Drosophila melanogaster: one gene and its partners. The protein of the gene in region 4 interacts with the protein of the main gene of each other region in a pairwise test. Each region holds a gene or a part of one and is shown on either strand. Other genes may lie near its edges.

The links.
Region 1: the proteins of CG2157 (region 4) and ems interact in a two-hybrid assay, tested with the Drosophila melanogaster proteins (one large-scale study listed by BioGRID).
Region 2: the proteins of CG2157 (region 4) and CG1394 interact in a two-hybrid assay, tested with the Drosophila melanogaster proteins (one large-scale study listed by BioGRID).
Region 3: the proteins of CG2157 (region 4) and fus interact in a two-hybrid assay, tested with the Drosophila melanogaster proteins (one large-scale study listed by BioGRID).

What each region holds. Positions count from the first base shown.
Region 1 is NT_033777.3:13,899,771-13,905,149, reverse strand, and holds ems (empty spiracles), read right to left. Parts: upstream 3,298-5,379; 5' UTR 2,972-3,297; coding exon 1,837-2,971; intron 1,547-1,836; coding exon 1,197-1,546; 3' UTR 530-1,196; downstream 1-529. UniProt on the Drosophila melanogaster protein: Acts as a homeotic selector gene controlling antennal and mandibular segment identity.
Region 2 is NC_004354.4:11,169,183-11,172,577, forward strand, and holds CG1394 (uncharacterized protein), read right to left. Parts: upstream 1,497-3,395; 5' UTR 1,328-1,496; coding exon 824-1,327; 3' UTR 629-823; downstream 1-628.
Region 3 is NT_033778.4:15,673,643-15,678,763, reverse strand, and holds the start of fus (fusilli), read left to right. Parts: upstream 1-2,094; 5' UTR 2,095-2,262; exon of another isoform or gene 2,263-2,323; intron 2,324-2,810; exon of another isoform or gene 2,811-3,247; intron 3,248-5,121. Other genes in the region: Gmppa (GDP-mannose pyrophosphorylase A), read left to right, coding at 1-184, 250-952, 1,011-1,275, 1,330-1,430.
Region 4 is NC_004354.4:10,867,508-10,871,372, reverse strand, and holds CG2157 (uncharacterized protein), read right to left. Parts: upstream 2,090-3,865; 5' UTR 1,994-2,089; coding exon 1,982-1,993; intron 1,637-1,981; coding exon 1,264-1,636; intron 1,191-1,263; coding exon 832-1,190; 3' UTR 670-831; downstream 1-669.

The DNA of each region.
Region 1 (5,379 bases), on a different chromosome or scaffold from region 4:
CCTTTGATCTCACACGAACTGCGCTCAATTAAATTCTACAATAAAACACGATTTGCATTTTAAATTGTGCAATTAAAATGCTTATGAAATCTATAAGAAATAACGATCGCTAAATGCATTTTATAGCCGCCTCCTTCAGCTATCCCGCTCTTTTCAGTCGCGGCCGCACCCCCTCAATCCCCTTTTCCAGCGCACCTGTCACCATTTCCAGTGGACAGAAACAGCAACAACAATGTTAAATGTCACACGCTAATTAATTGACGGCGCATAATTTTTTACTCTGTCACACAGTGGGACGAACTCAATTAAAAAGGGGCGGAGATGCCAAGGCTTAAACAAGAAAAAATAAACTAAAGTAAAATATTGTTGAAGGAAAGTAATAAAGCTGAATGAGAAGTTAAAGTTCACACCCATAACTCAAAACATACCAATATTGTTTAAATTATAAATAAATTATCTAGTATTCTGGATAATAAGTGGTTGCCCCCAACACATAAATCAATCAAACATTTCTCTTTCGATTTCTTTTCATAATGAATATTTTATATTTTATATGATCATATTCGTTTGTGTTTCTTACAATCGTATTAGCTTAGGATGTAGTTACTAGCAACTAGGGCTTTATATTAGACGGCTTTAAATAATATCCAGCTGCAGTTGAGGGACTCTAGAGGTTCGTGCTTAAGACTAAACATAAATAAATGCTAGATCGTCATACAATATACAAGAATTATACAATAGCTAGTGGATCGAGTACGATTTGTTTTGAAGAATTCACTAATTAAAAGTAATGTCATGAATATTTACAGGCTTAAGTCATAAAATTTGTACAGTTATAGTTGGTGGTGTCTAGCCTAGGTTTATTTTTTCAGTGTTTCTTTTTTTGCATTTGATATTTGGGAAAGAAAGGAAACAACTTGCATTCTTTGAGCTCTACTCAACCTCGAAACTTCGCAAGGATTTGGCACGGATCTTGAGAGAGAAGTGTGGATGGAGAGAAAGGGTCTCTAATACTTTCCTATCTATATACACTTAGCCTAACGCCTTGGGATCGCTCTAAGAATATATCACAACAAAACAAACTATGTTACTCTCGCCGAGATTCGACTGGGAACCCTCGATAACTGGAACTGGACTGCATTCGCCAGGATAAGGAACTCACGGACCGCCGCAGGACTATCTCCTGGCCGCTTCTCTCAGTGGCTGGCGTCCAGCTCGTGCTCCTCATCGCTGGGACACTCGTCCATCTCCATGTCGATCAGTTCGTCGTCGTCCTCGTCGCCGCTGCCGTTGTGCATATTCCGCTGCGATCCTCCCTCGCCGCCCTTCTCATCCTCCTGCTGCATCCGCTTGTGCTTGGTGCGTCGGTTCTGGAACCACACCTTCACCTGCGTCTCGGACAGATTGAGGTTTTGGGCCAGGGCCTTTCTCTCTGCCCCCACTACGTACTGGTTGCTCTCAAAGGCGTGCTCCAGCTTCAGCAGCTGCGACGGCGAGAAGGCGGTGCGGATGCGTTTCGGTTTGCGGAACGGGGGCACCAGGAAACCTTGAAAGAGGCAAAGAAGAAAGGGTTTCGGTTAGTCATCGGTATTTAAGATCATAACTCACAGCAATAAATTAGCAATGACAATATAATGCAATTATAAGAGACTCATCAAAACTAATTTAAAACATATTAGCATCTTTCATTTCTTATTACATTTATGAAGGTTTAGAATTATTACTTTAAAGAAATTTCTCATTTTTTGGCTTCAATTTGGACTCCAAGAACTATTTTTTTCCCTAAATCTCCTTTTTTTGTTTCGCATATAAAGAATCATTCCAAAAGATACTTACTTCCAGGGAATCGGTGTGGGAAGATCCTTCCATGGCGGCTGAGCAGCCAGGGGTACAGCTGATAGCTATCCCTGGCCATGCCTGGATTGGGCATAAACTGGGCGGCATGGGGCGGCAGGCCGGCGGCAGCAGCGGCGGCGGCCGCTGGACCAAGCACATGACCCGCTTGCAGGGCGGCGGCCATCTGGAACTGGGCAGCGGCAATGAGATGCGGATTGTGCTGAGGCGGCAGCTCCGGCGGAGCGTTGATGTAGGGCGGCAGCGCCTTGATGTCCGGCAAGCCGGGCTGACCCTGCGGCATCGGTGGTCCTCCGGGTCCCATGGGAAAGGGGCGAACGAGTCCAGCGGGCGGCATGCCCGGCATCATCATGGGTCCAGCTCCTCCGGGATGCATCATGGCGGGCTTTGGATAATTCGGGGGCGGCTGCTGCTGTTGCTGCTGTGGCGGTGTGGCATGTGGACTGCTGATCAGCAGAGTGGGCGAAGACGAGGGCTGCGAGGACTGGGGGCTCACGGATTTGGGAGGCGTGTGCGGTGGCTGGATGCGCTGGGCGGGATTCTCGGCCTGCTCCATGGCAGGTGGTGCAGGTGAGCGTTCCCGCTTGAGGGAGACGGCCATCTGGGGCTGCTCCGTTTCGGGGGAGAGGCGTGTCTGCAGCGGACTCAGGCCGCTGGCCATGGCGGCATTGTGGTGCAGCCTCTGCAGCAGCTCCTGAATGTCCTGGTGGCTCTTGGGTGTGCCCGGATGTTGCTGCTGCATGAGGAGGTGCTGGTGGAGCACATGTTGCTGCGCAGGCGATAGATGCGGATGCGGATGTGGTGCCTGCAAATGCTGCTGCTGAGCATGCGGATGCGGATAGGGCAGTCCGTGGGCAGGAGGAGCCATCAGATGGTGCGGGGGCGAGCCTGGGATCAAGGTGAGTGTGGCTGGTGGCGTTTGGGGCGGCGAACCGGGCACATTGCGCTCGCCGGGCGGCGGACTCTGGGGACCGGATAGATCGGGCGTCGAATTGCCGCCGGCGGTGCTGACATCATTGCCCACAATGGACTCGATGCTGAAACCGATCTTCTGCTTTGGTGTGGGCATCATGACGGCTGCAGCGGCGGTGGGAACCGGCGGAATCATCTTAGTCATAAATACGGCGGTTAGTTCGGCTATGTTGGCGGCTTTTTTTTCGAGGGTTTAAGCACGGTTTTCTGTTTAATCTAATCTGTTCTGTTTGTCTAATCCTCTGGGAAGTCCTTATTTGTAACTCTCTATGTTTCGTTGATTTTCTCACACTAAGCGACGCATTGGAAACGCTTTCATATATACGTTTAGTTACTTTATTAATCACACACACACTCGGGTTGTCAAGACTTGTGCTCTACGGCGATCGACGCGCTCGTTTTTCTTATTTTTTGTGTCGGAAGACGGAGAATATAGACGTGTGCTCTCGACGACGTTCGATGTCTGAATAAATCCGGTAAGCCCGGCAACACCACCAAGTGTGCGCTACTCGAAGAGAGCTGAGCTGCGGCGAGTCTTCTCTCTTCGCCAGTACAGGCCAAACCAGTTTATCGGGCCAGAGCGGGAGGCACTGTGCTCGGTGTAGTATGGCCGTCTTCTTTGCGCGCGCCTTGTGGATTTTATCTACCCTGCAGATATGGCCTAGCTGCGAAGGAGCGAGTGAAATGGCTGCTTTTCGAGGGGCGGGTCCAGTTCGGTGCGCTGCCTTTACCGAATTTTCTGCATATGGCTTCCGTTCAAACAGCCACCACTATACGACTTTGTTGTTGCTCTTGGCCTTTGTGTAATTTGGCTTAAACTGCCATTCATAGTTCTTGTTTTTGCGGTTGCATTTCTGGGCCGGAACGAGCGCTAAATGGAAATCTAATGCCAGGTGGGCAAAATGTCTCTGTTTGCGGACTCTGGCCAAATTTGCAGGAAGTTCGAAAAGGGTTTTCGAGGCTTACAGAGGATGTGCGTTTTAAATATTTCCCTTGCTCAGGGGGATTTTTGTTGTGCAAATTTATAGTTTAGCAAGGATTTGTTAGACGCTCTTTATATATTTCTGCATAAAACTAAAGATTAAGGAATATAAGTATTTTGTTAATGGTGTTTTTAAAGTTCGTAAACCCCATTCAACAACATGGCGTAAAATTTATAATTTAAAATACTTATTTAATTTATGATATTATATATTAACTTTCCCTATTTTAAAACGTCCCGGTTTTCGTACAGCTGACAATCCAGTCCACATTAGCAATTCCACACCACGGATGCACTTCAAACTTGCTGTTTCCATAAATCATCTACGAAACTTGATCGGGACAGTTTTATGAAATGTGCTACCGGGTTTATTTTTCGCTACGATTTAAATGTTAATTTTCAGGCATTACATTTTTTTTTTGGCACACGACAAAGTTTGCATAATTTATGTAGTGTCCGAATCGCAGTTCCAAATCAAAATCAGAGCAGGTTCATCAATTGTCGGGACGTGCCAAATGTCTCACTTCGTTTCCTCGGTCAACACTATAACATTTCCTATCAAACCCCAAGAGTTTTTCAAAAACAATGGAATAATATTCGGTAGTGCTATTTTCACACTCTGTTATCAGCCGGAGCCGTCAAATTCGTCGCCGGATTTCTGAGATTAATGGGCTAGGAATCGGCGAGAGCACAACAACAGCTTGTGCGATAGATTAAAATCTATCAAATTTTTATGGCCGCTAATTAAGCCACGCATATTTACCCATAGCTTTCGGTTCGAATCGACGCAAGGCATAAACAACTTTCGAGTCCATTAAAGCGTAATTATGTTGACTAATGGATTTTGATTACAAGGCGAAATGCTGTCGAAAGTTCAGCGATTTTTAGCTGAGTCGGTTTCATTTGCGGTCTAATCTGCAAAACGTGTGTGTAGCTAATTCGATTTGAAACTCGGCATCTGAGCTTTAGTTTTGATTTTGTGAAAGCTTCATTATAAGTAAAAAAAGTATTGGTCGAAATGATAAATATTAAATATAAATATCAAAAATATTAAATTAAATAAATATTTAGAAGTAATACTCTGATATCTATTTAATCAATTGTGGTTAGAAGAATCCTTGCAATCAGACGGCCAACATTTCGACGAATCAAGCATAATTGAGTTGAAAGAAAACGCAATTTACCTTGTATTTTCGGTAATTTCACACGCCCACTGAGCTGAGTACCTCACCGCAGGAGCTCCAGGACTCGAAGGACCTGCAGCCAGCACAATCGTGCTGCTAATGAGCGAATAAAGATATCCTCTGGCCGCAGGACCAGCGGCAGTCAAGTGGCCAACTGGAGGACTCGGCAGTTGATGACCCCCCGCCAGAGTTCGCAAAAAGGAATGAAAACCGTAAAAAATGCAGCCAACAAAGGGCACAAATGCATTTATTAGATGGAAATAAAGAGGAACACAATGCAGCAGCCCGAAAGGTGTCAAAATCAACAATTTTCAGCCTGCAAACAATTCCACAGAAACCGAGGCACAGCGTGATGCAATTTCACCTATTCGAACCTCCCTCCATCCA
Region 2 (3,395 bases), 300 kb from region 4:
ATGACTTGGTAACATTACGATTATGCTAAATTCATGTAATTTTAGTATAAATCATCGAATCTTTTTTTAAGAATAATTTCCCAATGGGCATACCCATTTTTTTGTAAGTGCATCTCGTTAGCGTGTTGAGAAATTGCCATCTCATCACTGTGACAATCAGCCACGCCCTGTGATACGACAAAAGGGGCGGCAGGCGTTGTATTTGCATAGTTAGAAACGATGAAACTTGTATTGTTTTTTGTACTTTACAATGCGAATCTCAAGAACATATATTTATACGAAGTGCTCAAGATAATCATACGGTGGAAAATTGGGTCTATTAATCTTATAAATGGTTTGCACCTAGTTATTTAAATTTGATTTGTTTAAACTAAATAGAAAAATCGAAATATTTACAATGTAAGCTTGATTTGTGCTTTAATTATTTGTATAAAAAATAAAACTTCAATATTTGACTGCCGAGTGAAAATAACAATAGTAACCTTTGCCATACATCACATTTTGCCTATTTAGTAATTAGCATATAAAATATATGCGATTTGAGTTTACAACGCTCTTCTCACATTCAATTTGCCGCACGTTAACTCATCTCTGTATTTATTAATGCAATTAACCCACCCACCGATTTGTGCCAACTGATTATTTTCATATCTTATGGATTTATGACATTTATTTTATACATTTTCGCCAAGTACGAGTCGTTTGAGCTGCACAAAACGGACGTTTGGTTCGAAAACTAATTGTGTATGTATATGGCCCATATGCGATTCACTTTAGTCGTTCGGTGAAGATGCTCGTGCTGTCATTGTTCGTGGCATCGATCCTACCAGAAGCCACCCTTGGATGCACTGCCTCCGCCGTAGTTCATGCTCATGTCCATGCCGTTGTAGGCGCAGAAGGCTTCGCCATTGTCGATGCACGGTTCATTTCGTCCGGGTATGTCTCCATATATTGAACGGTCCACGGGTGGCGGCACTATATGCTGGGCTCCTGTAATGGGCATGCCACACGACATGGCACCCGGCATGGCACCCGGCATGGCACCCGACATGGCACCCGGCATGACGCCCGGCATGGCACCCGGCATGGCAGCCGGCATGCCACCGGCTCCTCCGGCGTATGGTAGCATGGAGTGTGCCTGAGCTGCGCCCTGGCTAGGCCAACCTCCTAGTCCGCCGGCTGATCCTAATCCTGGTGCTGCTGCTGTTGCTGATAGTGGTGGTGGAGCGGCTGCTCCAGCGGCAGAGTGCTGCATGAAGTCACCCATCTGCGGATAAACGGGAGCATTCAACGGCTGGCCATTCCAGTACGAAAACGAATTCGACATATTGTGAGTTGCGGTTGAGTAAATCCTAAATACAAATAATTTGGGAAAGTGGTGAAAAAGAAACAGTTTTTCTTTCGATTTTTTTTTTTTTGACCAAATAAAAGTTGTACAAAATTTTGCTCCGCTGAACGGTGTTTACTGTTTGGGATCTAAAATATAACTGATAATCTGGAGCTCCGGCTGGGGTACCTCGATTTTTCGGCTTGACATTTAATTTCATGGATATGTTGATTGGAAATTTTTGGAAATTTTTTTTCGACCGATTGCAGTTGGCCATGAAAATACATACGATATTAAATTGATTGTTTTACCTTGGCACATATTTTAGGTTTAGCTCTTCCATAAAATGCCTAAGAGTAAATATATTTTCTAAATATTTTGAATAGCAAATTATAAGTTACCATAGTATATATGTACATCATCGTAAAATATTTGATTTATTAACCTGACATAAGATTGTTCATAAAGGTTTTTGTGCTTCTAATTCAGGTCATTCCGTGTTATTTAGCATACAATTTTATATTGTGATAAATGACATTTCTTTTTATTTTCATTTCATCTTTTTGCTCTTGAGTCTTGATTCCTATTTCTATGATTTTTTTTTTTTGGTTTAGCCTTGTCGGAAAATGGGGGCGGTGGGCGACCGAGGGGCGTGGCATGGCCAGCGTTGTGTTTAATTTTTGAAAAAGGACGCCAACTGTCGTGATGCAGCACAGATGATAATGACGAAGACGCGGCAACAAACGTTTATTTACACACTGGGTATTAAATGGGTATTAAAGACTTGGTACCATAAAATAGAAATAAAACATTGTGCATCTAATTACTTTGCTAACTATAAAACAATTATAAAACTGCATTAAATTCGATTAAAGTAATTGAACATTTTGGCAAATATAAGCAATTATATGCTATTTCGTGTTTAACTTTCAACTTGATCTTATAGCCCATCTAACACGTTTTGATTCACACATGATTGGCATTTAAATACGGTATTTTTAAGGTTCTCACCCTCTTGGCCATTCACATTCCACTTGATTCTTGTGCCAAGCATAAAATGCAAAACACTTGAACTGAGTGAAAACGAAGGCGAAAGCAAAATAAGCAACAACAAAATGTCTCATAAACCAACCAGATGCAGTGAAAGAAAATTCATACTAAAAATATATACATATATAACAAATGTACAGTATAAATTATTACTTTATAGTTCTAGTTGACAATAAGGAATTAAATGTTTCAACATTGCGTATGCTTAATATTCAATGCTGATATTGCGTATACGCAACGTTGGCCGCATTTTATTTTTAACTGTGCCTGCGAATATGAAGAATAAGCAGTAAGCTGAGAGAAAAATAAAAGAACGCAACATGGCAGGGTGTTGATAATGATAGCAAAGACAAAGGCCCACGCCTAATGGGACACGGAATGACGACTGAGGGGCGATGATGAGGCGTTGGCCGGATGGCAGGATAGCTGGATGCTTGGATGGTTGGATGGTTGGATGACTGTAAGGCCGGGTGACCATCCGACTGTCATGCCCACGTCCTTGACGCGCTGCAGTGGCGACAACGTAGTTAAATTGCCTGTCCTCGGCCGGCGTCAACATTGTGTCATTGCTAGTATTAAATCAGAGCCAAACAAATGATGATACATAAGTGCGACACAAGTGCGCAAAAAAAAGAAAAAAATATACAAACACAGCGAAGATTAACCGAAATGCTGGGTGGGAAAATTAAAATTACAGCACATAGCTTTGGTGCACTGAAAGAAAAATCCAGCACATTTTAATATTCAAGGTTCTTACTTTAACTATATAGTAGTTAAATTGCAATAAAATTGAAGTTATTTAAACCGATACTATTATTTATGACTACACACTGTGCACTTCTTGTGCAAAGAAATTTGTCTCAATATAAATTATGCTGGAATTCCTCTGGTTTTTCGTGTCTTAAGCGCTGTAAGTGATCAACTGAGTTCATATTTCAACGCCTGACCTTGGGTCATTCCAAATTATGTGATGCCAACTATGCCGGATGGGAGACTGATGGGCCAGGGCAGCTGGGTT
Region 3 (5,121 bases), on a different chromosome or scaffold from region 4:
TTGACACGCCCAAGCCGCTCTTTCCATTGGCCGGTCGTCCTCTAATCGCCCATCATATTGAGGCCTGCGCCCAGCTGCCCGATATACGCGAGATCCTGATCATCGGCTATTATCCGCAGACCCAAATGGAGGGATTCGTGGGCGACATGCAGGCCCTGTACAGCAGCAGCAACATCAACATCAGGTGGGAAGAGGGGCTTTGGAAGAACTTGAATCTTAAGTTCCAAGTTGACCTACCCTTTATCATAGGTACCTTCAGGAGTTCACTGCCTTGGGCACTGCAGGCGGAATGTACCATTTCCGGGATCAGATTAGAGCTGGTAACCCCCGAGCCTTCTTCGTATTGAACGGAGATGTTTGCGCTGATTTTCCGCTGCAAGAACTGTGCGACTTTCACGAGAAGCGCCCGGCGAGTGCTCTGGTTACTATCATGTCCACGGAGGCGACACGTCAGCAATCCTTGCACTACGGCTGTCTGGTTTTCGATCGGAGTAGCGGAGCCGTTTCGCATTATGTAGAAAAGCCTAGCTCCTATGTGTCCACATTTATCAACTGTGGGGTGTATGTCTGTTCCATGGATATATTCACGGTGTTGGCACAGATTTTTCATTCGAGAGGTCAGGAGTACAGCTGCCAGGCATTTTGCAATGGAAACGGAAATGGAAATGGACGAGAGCAGGGGCACATCAAGTGGGAACAGGAGGTGCTTACGCCCCTGGCTGGAACCGATAAACTCTTTGCCATGCCAGTGCCTAACTGGTGGTCCCAACTGAAGACTGCTGGGTCGGCAATCTACGCAAATCGTCATTATCTTGGCCTGTACAAGAAAACGCATCCCGAGAGATTGGCCAATGTGGGGATCAAGCGCGGAGAAGGGGACGGCAGCTTGATCTGCACAGTGCATCCGGACGTCTATGTGCATCCCAGTGCCACTGTCCATCACAGCGCAGTGGTTGGTCTAGATCAAACTTATTTTTTAGAGTGCTTCTAACAAAAAGGTCCTGTTCCAGCTGGGACCCAATGTGGCGATTGGACCTGGAGTGACAATTGGACCAGGTGTGCGCATTCGCGAATCGATTGTTTTGGAGCAGGCACAGATCCTGGACCATACGCTCGTGCTGCACTCTATTGTGGGCAGGGGCTCCACCATTGGAGCTTGGGCTCGAGTCGAGGGCACACCTAGTGATCCCGATCCCAACAAACCCTTTGCCAAAATGGAGAACCCACCGCTTTTCAACAACGAGGGCAAGCTAAACCCCTCGATAACCATACTGGGTAGGTGTTTTGAATTGAGTGATGACATTCTTGAATCCTAATTTTCAATTTCAGGCTGTTTCGTGCAGGTGCCCGCCGAGAAAATCCTGCTGAACAGCATTGTACTGCCGCACAAGGAGCTCAGTCGCAGCTTCAAAAACGAGATCATCTTGTGAGAATGATTTTATTTTTTATCTTCGCTCTGTGTCCCTATCAGTATGTCATTTTATATGTTTATATTGTGCTATATTCTGAAAAACTCCCTATTAAATGTGTCTTATCCTCTGCAGCCAATTTTACTACGTCTTTGACCCGGTAAGGTAAACTACTCGGCACTCGTGCTTTTATGATTGAAAGATGGATATGTGATAGTTGGGAAACAATTTTTTTTCGAATACCTTTACGTATTAAACTTTTTACGGCGGTATTACTTTCTTATAAATGTGGTCGAGGGATGCAGTTTTCTGCATTTGTGTGCTTTTTATAAGGAATTGAATTAGGTATATCCGTTACTCGTACAGTATATTCTCGCTCGCACTCCCACTAGCGTATCTTTCAGATCAAAAACATGTAGTAGTTATTGGTATATTTGTTATAAAAAATCGAGGCAATTAAGAATACCAGCATTCATATTGTTTATTTTTTTTAAAGGAAGCTAACTATTGTTCGAGTAAATTATTTATCTTGCACCTTTAAAAGGGGAGTTTACATTCCGATATCGATAAGTGCAAGTAGTTGGGGGTCGTGACACGGTTGCTCCTCAAAAAAGCGGCCCACGCACACCAATACCTGTGCGCTCCCGATGATTTTCCCACTCTCTCTCTCGCTCCCGCTCTTATTCGTTTTGACCAAAACGCGTTTACGTTGCTCGGTTGTCAGCCAGTTAGTCGCCGTCGCCTGTTGCTTTTGATCTGTGCATATCCACCGCTTCTAAAACAGTGAAATTTACTACTTAGTATACTTACCAAATAATGGCCACTAGCTGGAAATGATGATTCTGGCCAAAAGGTAAGGTAACCAGGTAAGCAGTCTATTCTACGTGGGCATTCACCGTTCTCCGTTGGTAATTGAGCAAGCGAAGAAGAGGAGGAGGAAGAAGAAGAGCAGAGCAAACAGTATGCAGGTGTACGTGTGTATGTGTGGTGGAGGACGAATGTGTTGGTGGAGCAGCACAGGTAACTTCTATGCGAGAGGGAGCACGAGAAAGAGACAGAGAGAGAGAGGAAAAGCGCGGGTCATGCTCACTGAGCGTAACTGTCTTGCGCAGCGTGGGAAACTTATAGACTAGCTCTTTGCTTTAAGCCAAGCTTTATTGGCGGAGTTTGTGTAACTCTCTCCCTTGAGCTCTCTGTGTCTCACTCTCTCCGCCGAGTTGCCAACTACCGCAAGGCCTATTGGCAAACTCATACCTGGCCATGTTGTTGTTTTTGCTGGTATGTGCGTGATGGAATCTTGTTTGGTCTGCTCTCTCGCTCTCTGTCTACCGACACAGAGAGAGGTAAGCGCAGCTCACCTTAATTTACCTTCGTGGTTACCTGCGTTTCGCTGCGGCGATCAGTTGTTTTTCAGACTTGAAGCCAAGCGGATGCGCGACGGGTTAAATAAGTTAATAAACAGATTCGACACACACACACACCGAAACGTTTGCACGCACACTCATACCAATTCAACAACTAGAAAAAGACAACAAGACAAAGTGGTGGAAGCAACAGGTCAAAAAGAAGAAGAAAATACTTGTTTGCTGGCTTTAAATTAAAATAGTAAACTATTCAAAAGGCCACAAAACAAAAATAGCAGGCGTTTTATCAAATGTAACTGTAACACATATGGTCTTTTCGAGTTTGTGTGCGAGAGAAAAGAAAGTGCAATAAAAACCAAAATTTGTGAAAAGCCAACAAGTGCAATGTATACAACGTGTTGAACAGAAAAAAAATCATAAAATAAGAAAACAGTAAAAACAGTTAAGTCGCGTCGCTGAGAGAGGGAGAAAAAAGTGAGTAAGAAAGCGAAGAAACAGAGGAAGACGAGCAAGAGGAAGCTGTAGATATCATTTACCAACAACCTGTGGCATCCAACAAAAATCAAAAGAGCGAGAGGGAGATAAAGAGCGCCATAGAGTGTCGATGAGGGAGAGGGAGGGAAAAATATCCGATTGAGAACCACTTGTTGTTGCCGTTAATCAAATTATCTATTAAATATACCAAAATGAATGAGCGACATTAACAAAAACAAAGTGAAAACAAATTTACAGTTAGCGGAGCCCAAAACGAAGATGCTGAGAGAAAGAGAACACAACTTGTTTATGAATACCCTGCACTAGAGAAGTCTTCAAGTTTGTCATATGATTCCATATGATTATGGAAAATTTAAATAGAACGACAATTATTCCGCTACATTAATGGTCTAGTTTTTTTTTTTGGAAAACTTAGTAATTAAAATCCGACAAGATAAGATACTACCCCAATTTGATACTCATGCTGCTTAGGAAAAAACAGAACGGTGTGAATTTTAAATGCACCTGCTAAAGCGTATTTGAAGATCGCCTAGTGCTGAATCTGTTTTCTTATTTGCAGAATCACAAAACAGCAGCAATTTCAGAGTTGCACTTGTTGCTTGCGTGAGATCCAGTTAAAAGAGGGAACGAGATAAAAATCCAGATAGAGCGAGAGCCCAAAACATTTTCCTTCGTTTCTTCTCTGCGCTTTTCTACCACTTTTTTGTTGTGCGAATAACTTTGGCAATTGGCATTTCTCGCCAGCAATTTTTGCGCAATAATAGATTTCCTGTTGCTCCAACAACAACTAACGGCACACGCCAGCGACAACAACAAAACATATATGCAAGCGGGGAACAATGCTTAAAACAAAAATCGTAAAACAGAAACTTGCGCAATTCATAATTTAATAAGCCAGTCCGAAATACAACAAACAATCGGCCAACAATGAAAATCTGCTCACTTTCTGGTTTACCAATAGGCAGGTAGCAATTCATTAATTGCAATAGTTGTTGCCGCTGTTGTGGTATTAGTTTTTTATTCCGCTCCTGCTGCGCCTGTCACTAATTCAAATTTAATAACGGCTTGATGGTTTTGTCTTTCGCACAGTGCAGTAATCGAAAATCGATCTTCACAACACGCAAACCTCTCAATAATCTACATTTCTCAATATATTCAAATATTTGTGCGATTAACATACGTATTCTCATTAATATTGAGGAAAATGGTTGTTTTGAAAACTACCAAAAATTACCTCTGACTTAACAAAAACGGTACATTTCTATTGGTTTCTGTGATATACGATATAAATCTATTTAAATCTTTATAACGTACAATAATTACAAGTTCAAGATAGGAAGGTCCCACTGTGCTGTGATATTCAGGGTTTAGCGTTTCTTATTTTTAATGATGGCCGCAACGCTTTCCCATTGTCTATTTGGTTATTCTTTATTTTACTTAATTGGGCGACTCGCTTACCGTTATTCATTCATTAACGAATATAGTACCTTTTTCATTTCAACGAAAGGGAAACTTATCAATGCGTGTCTGCCCTTCTGGCATAACCGTATCTTTTCATAGTTTCCATTGCAATCAATTAAAAGCGCATAAAGCCTCTCATAAGACCACAATCCATGATATATGTACGTATGTACCACTCTCGAAAGGTTGACGTAAATCAACAGTCTTTAATGGGCTGTAAGGGCTTAAGGTCTCTGAACAGGAAATAGGGCACTTTAAGGCAATAGTAAACGCAGCTTTTCGGTTTAACTAACCCCGGAGGTCGAGAAAAGTGTCAAAATCAAGAAACTTGCGAACCAGTTTAGGCTTTTTGGTTATGAAAGCCGAGGCAGTTCTTTTGGGGAGTACGAAAT
Region 4 (3,865 bases):
CTTCTCCACGGAGGTCTACTACTTCCTCAGCTATGGCTTCAAGTTGCTGACCAAGCAATTCGAGTGGCTGGAACGTGACCTGGCCGAGGCCAATCTGCCCGAGAATCGGGCCAAACGTCCGTGGATCATCACCTACGGTCATCGACCGATGTACTGCAGCGACGACAAGGAGTACGATTGCAATAGCCAACTGGAGACGTACATTCGCCAGGGTCTGCCCATGCTCAAGTGGTTCGGCCTGGAGGATCTGTTCTACAAGCACGGCGTCGACGTGGAGATCTTTGCGCATGAACACTTCTACACTCGCCTGTGGCCAATCTACGACTACAAGGTGTACAATGGCAGTGCCGAGGCGCCATACACTAATCCCAAGGCGCCCATCCAGATCATCACGGGTTCCGCCGGCTGCAAGGAGGAGCGCGAGCCCTTCTCCAACGATTTGCCCATCTGGAATGCCTACCATAGCAATGTAATTGAATGACCTGCTTAATATCAAAACGGAATACTATAATTCTATAATCTCTTTAGGATTACGGATACACCCGCTTGAAGGCACATAATGGCACGCATCTTCACTTCGAGCAGGTGTCCGATGACCAGAACGGCGCCATTGTCGACTCCTTCTGGGTGATCAAGGACAAGCATGGCGCATATCCATCGCCCCAATGAGATTACATGCATATATAAATATATACTTTCTAGTTAAATGACGATTATGATAATGTATTTTTTTGTAGCATCTTTTAATAAAAATAAAGTTAGAAAAAAATATATCGATGAAAAAAAATAAATTCCACTAGCTTAGATCTTGAACGTTGGACCGTGCGGTGTCTAGTAGACGGTTCCCGAGATTCCGGAACCGTAGTTATAGCCCGATCCGATGGGCGGCACTCCGCCCAAAGCGCCCAAGCCGCCGCCCACCACGCTGTTGCCATAGTTGCTCGTATAGTAACTGGATGGATAGCCACCAGCGCCGAATCGGGTGTTGTAGTACGGATACCCAGTGCCGGCTCCAGCGCCCAGCCTGCTGTTGTAGTATGACAGGGCGTATGGATTCGAGTTGTAGGAGCCACCATAACCACTAAGTCCCGATCCATAGCCACCAAGAGCGGATCCATAGCCACCCAAAGCGGATCCATAGCCGCCCAGAGTGGATCCATAGCCTCCGTATCCGGCCACTGCAGCACCATCTGGGGATTGAGAAACAGCGTTGGTATACTACGAGTCTTCGGCAAGAGATTGAGAGTCTTCTTTCAAGCTCACCCTCACCTAATCCACCCAGAGCTCGCGAGCTGTACGGATTGTAGTAGCTGTCCACGCCAACGCCGACGCCACTGCCGTACGCTCCTCCATAGCCGGCTCCCAGGCCAGAGGCATAGCCGCCGTATCCTGCGCCATATCCGGCGCCATAGCCGCCGTATCCCGCGCCGTAGCCCGCTCCGTAGCCACCGTATCCACCAACATAGCGCTTCTCCTGCTTCTTATCCTGCAGCGGGGCATAGCTGCTGGCGGCGCTCACCTGATCCTCCACGGCCACCGCATCCGGTGCCGATGCGGATGCCACCTGCTCCAGGTCAGAATCCGCCGCGTCCTGGGCATAGGCACTCAGCACCAGACTGGTTGCTATCAGGATAAACTGCGCGAGGATAAAGCGTCACCAAAATGTATCATATTCAAAAGATTACCACTTAAAACATATTTCAATAAAGTGAAAAGTACTTTTTAACAATAGTATTTTGTTTAACAAATTCTCAAAAGCAACATAAAACATATTCAAAAATGTAATAAAAAAAATGTAAAAAATATGTATCAACTTTAAACTAAAATTTAAATACACTTTATAATTTAACAATGAACATCAAGCATTTGGAATACAATGCTTTCAAAACTTATTATTCACTTTAACGAACTGTGTTTTTTAAATCATTTTCTAGTTTTTGGGAAATTATAATCCACGAGAGATCCTTTGGCGAGTCCTTACAAAGCACTTCATGTTGTGGCTGCCGGTTTGTGGTGTTCACTGCTTTCTGGTGGCTAACTGCTCCTTCAAGACTATGATGCGCACGCGCCGTTCGACACTTGTCTAATGATTCCCCACCGGGCCGGCAGTCGCTTTTATACCCGCCGAGCCCACTTCCAATCCCAGCGAACTCGAGCCGCGAAGTTGGACGCAACTGTTGCATCCCAGAGATTCGTGTCGCCTTGCTTGCCACCTATGTATGTATGACGCATGCCACTGGACAACGTGTATGCTGATGGGTCTTGGCTTAATCATCAAACATATTAGATTGAATTTATATCCTGGATTAGATAGTTTCCAGAATCAGATGAGCTCTACTTAACCCATTTATGGAACAACTCTGGATCAACTTAGATTGCTAATATTGTATATTAAATACATATTTATAATCTTAACTCTTTTCTTGAAGAAAACAATACCTTTCGAATGATCTACTTATGAAAAGCTGGTTGGGCGTGTTGATGTGTGATCACACATCATTATGAATATTCCCACGATCTGGGGGATCAATTATACCGCCGCCGCTCAGGAGAAGCAATAACAATGATGACAAATGCTAATTGAATCATTAACTTGACCCTGAAACAGCTAATTGGTCAACATAAAACGCGAAAATGCCCAACGATTGCAGCTTTGAAAACAAAGTTTAAAAAAAAAACGTAACAGCAATCATGCGAGTCCAGTTGAAACGATTTAGTTAGATAGATAAATATTGCGGCTAGTACGTGACTCATTTCATGAACAACAGTATCGAATTGGGTTTTCACTTTCCAGCGCTTATTTAAGCCAACTGAAATTGTTAACAAAACATCGCAGAGAAGAAGAGCCAGGCGGATCTGAATGCTTGAATTTCGCCAACAAAGGTGGCAATTGTTAATTTCTTAGAGGCTTTTTGGCCAAGTGCCTAAGCTAAGTATCCCCATTCCAACCAACATTGCTGACACATTTTCTAAAAAACCTAACGGATTGGAGTCGTAACTTCGATTGGGTTGAATGGACTGAATTAGGTTCTACCAATCTGGGCGATAGTTTTAGCATAAATTCAGGGGTATTCCACATTTAAGTACATTTAATCTATAGAGTTTAGTACAAGAAACTAAAAAGTACTCAGATGTTTCAAATAACTTTAATAATAACTTTAGCAAGTGTTTGAATAATAAAGTAGCATTTAAGAACATAACGATCTATATCCGTTTGCCATTTTCCAAAACTGCAAAACTGTAGCTTGTATCTGTGCAGTTGAAGTTACGTGTGCCAATAGCATTGCGATACTTATCCACGGATATTTACGAAATATGTCAAAATAGTTGTCGATGCCATGCTTGTGGATAGCCACATAGTATATACATACGCTTGTCATACCGCCCATATGAGTGGGTTCACATTGTTCGACCCGGCGGGCATGTGAAAAGTGTTAACTGATTCGACTGACTGTATGGATGGATAGATGGTTGGAGGGATGGATGGATAGATGGAGGGATGGATGGAGGGAGGCAACCGAAGCTACTGCCGACTGCTATGAGTTGACTTGGCCATGGGTGCACTTTGGCGATGGCCTGGGAGTTTCTCGTTTTTTTTTTTCTTTTCTTGTGCTCTTACCCCACTGAGACAATGGTTCTTTAATGCCGAGGCCTAAAAGCCCATTACACGGGCAGCCCGTGAATCTCGCGGTAAGTGGTAGCCTCCATTTCTTGGCCAACCCGCGCACACGGGGCGTATGAGTAATCAAGGAAAAGCAAGCACGGTGCAAAAATCAGATTTAGAACTTTGTCAGTTGAGATAGAGCCAGTTAAAAGCATAAAAAAATGTGGAGCAAAACTAGTATAGTGATTTTTTCAAATATCA